2 linked regions of the Callithrix jacchus genome follow. The protein of the gene in region 1 purifies or fractionates together with the protein of each later gene. This does not show direct contact. Links are inferred from orthologs where the notes say so. Each region holds a gene or a part of one and is shown on either strand. Other genes may lie near its edges. The genes, in order: UXT and RPAP2.

Evidence for each region.
Region 2: the proteins of UXT (region 1) and RPAP2 purify together in Homo sapiens (affinity purification with mass spectrometry; 4 studies listed by BioGRID and IntAct, counting the BioPlex papers as one, with this or other methods). This does not show direct contact. The link is inferred for Callithrix jacchus from reciprocal best matches to the Homo sapiens genes UXT and RPAP2.

What each region holds. Positions count from the first base shown.
Region 1 is NC_133524.1:48,734,150-48,738,658, forward strand, and holds the start of UXT (protein UXT), read right to left. Parts: upstream 2,912-4,509; 5' UTR 2,849-2,911; coding exon 2,819-2,848; intron 1-2,818. UniProt on the Homo sapiens protein: Involved in gene transcription regulation. Acts in concert with the corepressor URI1 to regulate androgen receptor AR-mediated transcription. Together with URI1, associates with chromatin to the NKX3-1 promoter region.
Region 2 is NC_133508.1:130,049,233-130,053,057, forward strand, and holds part of RPAP2 (putative RNA polymerase II subunit B1 CTD phosphatase RPAP2), read left to right. Parts: intron 1-711; coding exon 712-747; intron 748-3,407; coding exon 3,408-3,825.

The sequences.
Region 1 (4,509 bases):
CAGCCTCCATAACTGTAAGAAATAAATTGTTTTTGTTTAGAAATTACCCAGTTTCAGGTATTCTGTTGTAAGCAACAGAAAACAGACTAAGAAACAGGCATATCCTAGGTTTCTTGTGCAAGTGTCTCTCTTGGATACATTCATGAGAGTGGACTCACTGGACTGTAAGGTATGTATGTATTCACTGTAGGAGAAAATGCGAAAATATTTTCTAAAGTGTTTGCAATGATTTACATTCCTTCAGCAGGGCAAGAAGATCCTGTTGGCCTACATACTCTCCAACTGTTGGTACTGTCAGACTTTTACGTTTTTGCAATTTGAATGGGTTTAAAATACCATTTTATTACGTCTTGACTTGTATTTTCCTAATGACTTTGAACATCTCTTTATATGCTGGCTCTACATTTCCTTCTTCTCTGAAGTGGTCTAACAGAGCTTTTTTTTTTTTTTTTTTGGTACTATTATGACATCCAAGAAAACTAACAATGATTCTTGGCACTCTATTAGAAGTGTATGCATGCCAAATATGTTTCCACGGATTCAATTTCTTCTTTCATTTATTCATTCAACAAACATTTGCCCAGACCAGGGATGCAGGGGCAGAATGACAAGCTGGGATAATCAAAGTTCAACTGCTATGATTCGAATGTTTGTCTCCTCTGAAACTCACATTGAAATTGCCATTGTAACAGCATTAGGAGGTGGGGCTTTTAAAAAGTGAATAGGCCATGGAGGCTCCACTCTCATAAACTGATTAATGCTGTCATTAAGGGAGTGAGTTAGTTACCAAGAGTAACTAACTCAAGAGTGGGTTGTTATAAAGTGAGCCCAGGCCCTTGTGCTCTTTGTTCATATGCTTCCTTGCCCTCTCGTCCTCTGCCATGGAATAATGCAGCAAGAAGGATGCTGGCACTATGCTGGACTTCCCAATCTCCAGAACTATGAGCCAAATAAGCTTCTTTTCTTTATAAATTACCCAATCTGTGGTATTCTCCTATAGAAGCAGAACATGGACGAAGACACCAATTGTCTAAGAAAATAAAAATGAAATCAGACTATAAAAATGTGCCCTGCCATTCACCAGAATGGAAGAACAGACACATATAAAGCCAAATGCAAAATTCACAGGAAACATTATTTCTTCTAAGGACATGCTGCAGTTTTAATGCCATAAAGAACCCCTACTTTAGGTGACTATTGCTTCCTTAGTCATGGAGACACTTTGTTCTCTACAATCATAGACTATCAGAAATTGCTGTTTGAAATTACATCAGTAAGAGTGAAACATCAGACTCTTGAGATTCCAAGTCACTTCCGGAGAAGCAACATTCAATTTTCAACTCAGGTGCAGAGCTTTAGGCAAGAGTTATCTGGGGACACAAAATTCTACAACTAAATTGTTTCCAAGGAAACAGCACTCTGGGTTCACTTCACAGTCCAGACCTGACATTGACCCTTTACATAGAGGGTCAATTTACACATTGGAGGTGATAAGGGGCAGCAAACTGGTGGAAGGGTAGAAGCAGAGCCTTGTATTAAAGCTACATTTCCAAAGCAAGGGCATCATGACTATATAGATTTGACTTCATGAGGAAATAAAAATAATAACTGCTTTGAGCCCACTAAAACATTGCTTCATTTCAATTTCATCTCAACTCCACTATTCCTCAAAATCATGTAAGAAGTCTCTTTTCCTTTGCTTAGTGAGCTGCCCATGGTGCCCCTGGTATGCAGTCTCCCTTATTGATTGATGGATCTGTCTGACCAAGAATTAGTTTGAGGCTAATTGGACTAGGACACCTCTAACCTTCGAGATTGTTAAACCGAGGACCAGAGGGGATAAGACTGGATGGAGAACCCCTAGCCAGTCCACACTTCAGCCTACACCGGGTCCTCTCACAGAAAGGCTTTCAGCAGGGCATACAGGCTTCTAGCTCTGTCAGGAAGATTCCCTGGAGAGGAGATACTTGAACTTGGTTTTGAAGGATGAATAGACATTCTTAGGTGGAGGACTGCACGACTTCTTCCCCTTCTGCTCTAGTGACATCTCCCACAGGGCAGGGACATCTCCAGAATTTACACATTGGAGGTGATAAGGGGCAGCAAACTGGTGGAAGGGTAGAAGCAGAGCCTTGTATTAAAGCTACATTTCCAAAGCAAGGGCATCATGACTATATAGATTTGACTTCATGAGGAAATAAAGATAATAACTTTTCCTAAAGATTTTTATTGACATACTGCGTTAGACTAAAGACATATTCAAAATTATCAGTACTGGTACACAGTCCCTTTTTAGTTAGGGTAGATGGAGTGGGAGATCAGGTAGATTGTTGGAGCATTAAAACCCCGCATCCAAGACCCACAGGCACAGCAGGAGGGAGAACCCCGCACTCCGAGTTCTCCCCTTTTCCCACCTCATGGCATATCCTAGGAAGGCTTGCACAACCCTGATTTCTCCTCCTCCTTCCCTTGTGGTATGTCCTAGGAGAAGCCTGTAGTCAACGTGACATCTCCCCGCTTCTCATCCTGTGGTATCTGCCAGGAGATAGCCGCGGCCGCCCCTGATTCTTTCCAAGAGGCCCTTCAGTTTCTCTGAACGGTATCGAACGGACCCATAGACTACAGATCCAAAGACCCCTCCTCCAGTAAGCCCGCCCAGAGAAACGTCCCCACCCGTGCTTCCCGCCATCAGCGGGACAGCTCCACCTCCCTGCTCTGTGAGTTTAGAGGTGTCCTCATCCTCAATACGGAATGGACACTACTCCAACATGGTGTACCCCATGGGGAAGCGCGACTTGGGCGCGGCCATGTTCCCTACCTGAACACGTCGCGGAGGGGCACCGAACATCCCAAACCCCTCACTTCCGTAATTTCTCCATGTTAACTCCTGGCTATTAGCGGCTTCAAACGTGGTTTTGCGCACGCGCGGACCCCCCTTTCCCTCACTCATGCGAAGTCCCAAACCCCGAAAAAGGGCGGTGCTAGGGGTAGTGACCGGAAGCGGCTGCGGTTCTCGCCGGTTCTCAGCCGGGGTTACATAGTTGTCAGGAGGATTCGACGTTCAGTGCCCAGGGATGTGGAGGTGATGGGGGACCGGGGTGGGTGAGTGCTAGGCGATTCTGTGTGGTCAGTGATGGAATCGTTTGTCTAACTTGAGTTGGATGATTCGCTCATCGTTTTTCAGGCTTTTCTCTTTTCTAATGTCACCCTTAAGGTCTTAAAGTTCATTCTAAGCCCCATTGGGTTTGGAGCATTGTTTTTTAAGAGTGTTAACTCGTATTCATTTGTCTTTTACTGAGGAGTTATTCAAAAGTGGGGTTTTCAGTGTGCAAAAGTTTCTTTGTAATGGATCTGTAACCTTAGTTTTCTGTGTTAGAAAAACACCTACGTGGAGCTCATTCCTTGAAATACAAGGAGACTTACGGCCTAGTGCGTAGTGCATTTTTAGAAACGTTCTGTATATACTTGAAAATAATATTTAATTATTTAGTGGTCAATTGTGTCATATAAAGTCTGTCCTTTTTTGTCTATTTCTTCTTTTACTTCAGGAGAGAGAAATTCTCCACTGTGATGGTAATTTGTCCGTGTCTCCTTACTGCTGTCTGTGATCCACTGTGAGTTACTTTTTGTATGAAGTATGAGACTTAGGTCGAGGTGCATTAACTTGCTTATGGATGTCCAGACTCAAGCACTATTTGTTGAAAAGACTATCTTTCCTCCATTGACTTGTCTTACCATTGTCAAAAATAAGTTGGCCATACTTATGTGTGGGCTCTTTCTGGGTTTGCGATTCAGTTCCATTGTCTATGTGTCTATCCCTCTGCCAGTACTACCATGCTGTCTTGAATTGGATAGAGTGATTCCTCGCACTTTATTCTTTTTCAAAAGTGTTTTAATGCCTCTGTTTCCTTTGCCTTTCCCATACACATTTTAGAAAATCTTGTCTCTATCTACAAAGCATCTTGCTTGGATTTTGATAGGAATTGCATTAAACATGTTTACCAACTCGGAAAGAAGTTAAGTTTTAACTGTGACAAATCTTCCAATCCATGTATATAGTATGTCTCTGTTTATTTAAATCTTTAAAAATTTCTGTCAATGGTATATTGTAATTTTTATCACACAAGTTCTGTACACGTCTTATTTAAATTTATACCTAAGTGTTTAATTTTTTTGGAGTGGTCGTAAATGGTGTTCTCTTTTAAGTTGCTGCTTATATATAGGAATACAATTGAGTTTTGTCTGTTGGTCTTGTATCCTGCAGTCTTGCTGAGCTCAGTTATTAGGTTTTACACCTTTTTTGGTAGATTCCTTTGGTTTTCTCCATGGGCAATTGTGTCATATACAAACAGGGATAGTTTTATTTCTTTCTTTCCAATCTCTGTACCTCTGCTTTTCTTCCTTTGTTACACTGGCAAGAAGTTCCAGTACTATGTTGAATAAGAGTGGTGAAAGTGGACATCTTTGCATTGTTTTCAGTCTTAGGGGTAACATATTCAGCCTTTTACC
Region 2 (3,825 bases), on another chromosome or scaffold:
CTCAGTTTCCTTATCTATAACATAGGGATAATATTAGTAACTACATCATTGTTATGAAGATCAATACCTGTAAAGCTCTTAGAACATACATTTTTCTTCTACTAAATTGTAAGGGTTGGCTTGGCACGGTGGTAATCCCAGCACTGTAGGAGGCTGAGGTGGAGGCAGTGGGGAGCAGGGGGTTGCTACTACTCCAATGTAATTGCTTTCTCAGAAATTAAGGCAAAAAATCTTAATGACCATATAAAGGAAATCCAACAGAATTATAAACAATCTCTGCCTTTAAGAAGCTTATAGTCTAGTTAAGGAACCAGACTAAAACATGAAAAGTTAAACATTTAGTTAATGGTTCTAGTAGTAGGCCATAAAGGAGTACATGATTAAATATGTTACATTGTTCAGACAACTTAGAGAAGGGATTTACTTTAGTCCACATTAGTCAAGGAAGCCTTTATAGGGCTGGTGGAATTTGAACTTAGCCCTGAAAAGTGAGTGAAGTTCAAATAAGAGTGAGACTAATCCAGATTTCTTGTTGATGAGTTTCACAGTACTTTGTCATCCTTTAACTTTTTTCTTAAAGAAAAAAAAAATTTAATGAACTACTTCCTTTTAATTACATTTTCTACTATACATATTGAAGTTTAATAAAAACTTGAAAATATTTGACATGTCACTTGCCTTCAGTTTTCTATTTCTGTATTCTTGTTACAGCCATCCCGATTTTCAACTGCTAAAGGAAGGACAAAGGTATGGTTGAATCAGTATCATTTACCATCTATTTATTTATGTTAATAGAAACATTAGGAGTGAACCAGGTGGTATGAGCTCTTGGACTTCCTGTGCTGATGCATTATGTAAGTGTCCCATTCTAGCCCACAGAAAGAAATATTTGACCTGTTCAGCTTTTTCTTTTGTGATGGTAAAATGATGTGTTTGACCCGTATGATTTATTGTACAGCTGTTCCTACCGAGGAAATCTAATTTAACCTGTTGAAATATGACACAAATACAGCCTCCATCTCAGATACTGTGCTTCTTTGTCAACTAGATTGTGCCTATTACATTTGTTGAAAGGTTTTTATAGTCATATAGGATTTCAAAACCAGTAATGTATCAGTTACTTAATAATTTAAAGAGTGTCTAAAGCATTAATATAAATTCCACGTTGTGATTTTTTTTCTTAACTTTCCTCATGGTATTGTTTGTCTGACCATGGCCATCTCTCAAAACACATCCCTTAACTCTCAGAATAAATGTTCCTAGTTAGTAGTCACTACCTTAGTCAGAGGGCATTGGGCACAAATAAGAGATTGCTATTTATTGATGTATATCTTTAATTTATACCTTCAGATTAGTATAAAAACATAATTGCCTTATTCCAAGAGGAAGTATGAAATACATGAAAGTTAAATTGTTCTAATTTTGTTGAAGTTACACCTGTTTTTACTTTTCTTCTGATGCAAGAGATAGCACCATGGCTATATAGGCTAGATTCTGACTAAAAGATGGTATCTAATTCTGAACTAAGTTTTCATCTTTTTTCTTCATTCCCATCCATGACCTTGCTTTCACCTTTTTTTAAATATATTTTTTTCCTTTACATTTCCCCACAGCATACTTCTTGACCTAGAGTCTTTTTCATCCCAATCTTTTAAAGTTTTGCTATATGTCTATGCTTGAGGACATCCTTGTTTGTTTCAAGTTTGTATTGATGAAGCTACTCTTGCCTTCATTCTTTCATAATTCTTCATCTTATTCAAACTAAATCTGAAAATTGAAGAACATAGTCGGAGACAACTTTTGTTTTTTTATTGTTAGCATGCTGTTGTAATTCTGGATTTTCAAATTTAAATATCTTTTATTGAAAATTGTTGATTTGCTAACTTTTTCTGCTATCAGTTTCCTGTGATTTTCATTCTATAGAATTTTCTGTATGACAACCAGAATTAGAGAATTTACCCATTTATTTTTATCTCTTTATCTTTTCAAACCTAAACACAATTCCTGTAATTTTTTTATTTAAGAAACCAGTAATAAACTTTTCTTTTTTTTTTTTTTCTTTTTTTGAGATGGAGTCTCACTGCATCACCCAGGCTGGAATACAGTGGTGCAATCTCGGCTCACTGCAGCCTCCGCCTCCTGGGTTCAAGTGATTCTCCTACCTCAGCCTCCCGAATAGCTGGGACTACAGGCATACATGAGTCACTATACCCAGCCACAATTTTCAAAAGAAAAGCTTTTTTTAAAAAGGTCAGCTGGTAATCCCAGGACTTTGGGAGGCCAAGACAGTGAGTCACTTGAGGTCAGGAGTTCAAGACCAGCCTGGCCAACATGGTGAAATCCCATCTCTATTAAAATACAAAAACTAGCTGGGCATGGTGGTGCATGCCTGTAATCCCAGCTACCTGGAAGGCTGAGGCAGGAGAATCACTTGAACCTGGAAGGTGGAGGTTGCAGTGAGCCAAGATGGCACCACTGCACTCCAGCCTGGGCAACACAGCAAGACTCCATCTCGAATAAATTTTTAAAAAGTAAAATACAAAAATAAAAAATAAAAAGGTCAGTCAAGCACAGTGGCTCATGCCTATAATCTCAGCACTTTTGGGAGGCCAAGGTGGATGGATCACTTGAGGTCAGGAGTTCAAGACCAGCCTGCCCAACATGGCAAAACCCCATCTCTGCTAAAAAAAAAAATACAAAAACTAGCCAGGCATGTTGTCACCCACCTGTAATCCCAGCTACTTGGGAGGCTGAGGTGAGGGAATCGCTTGAACCCAAGAGGCAGAGGTTGCAGTGAGCTGAGATTGCACTACCGCAATCCAGCCTGGACAACATACTGAGACTCTATCTCGAAAATATGTATATTTTTATATTATTTTTCATACTATATTATATATATATTTTAAATACATATATTATATAAAATAAGCATATATTAGATATAAATTTACATATTATATATACATATTCTATTATATATTTATATGAATATAAATATAAATATATGTATATATTATAAATATAAATATATATATATACTTCATATATATTGATATATATATTTTTGCAACAACAGGCAAATCCAACTACTGCAGTAGGATAGCATTATCAAGTTTTTAAAAAAATTTTTGTTGTACTCTTGTAACAATTTTTAAATAATTGGGGGAAAAAGATGAACGAAGAAGAACTATATCAAAAAATATATTATTAATAGATATAGTGAAATTATAGGCTTTTTCTGAAATTTGTATATCAGAAGCTTATAAACAAGGTTTTACCAAGGGAATTAAAATTTTTACCTTGAAAGTTACAATGTATAAATACTATGGGGTACTTTACTTTCCTATTGTTTTGGTTTTTATTTGCCATTTATTATTTAATTATTTTATTTCTCTTTCATTTTACAGTGGCCATTCTGGAGTAGAAGTAGAGTTATGCAGTAAAGCCATTAAAACATCAGATATAGACAATACTAGCCACTTTGAAAAGCAATATGAATCTAGTTCTTCCAGCACTCATAGTGATAGTAGCAGTGATAATGAGCAAGACTTTGTTTCCTCCATTCTACCAGGAAACAGACCAAATTCAACAAGTATTAGACCACAGCTGCACCAGAAAAGCATAATGAAAAAGAAGGCTGGTCACAAAGCTAACTCCATACACAAAGAACAGACAGTAGTAGATGTCACTGAGCAGTTAGGCAATTGCAAATTAGATAGTCAGGAGAAAGCTGCTACAGGTGAACTTCCCTTACAGAAAGTAAATACTGAGAATTCTCCAAATAGTACTTTGCCTGAAAGATTAAAAGCTTCAGAAAATTCTGAA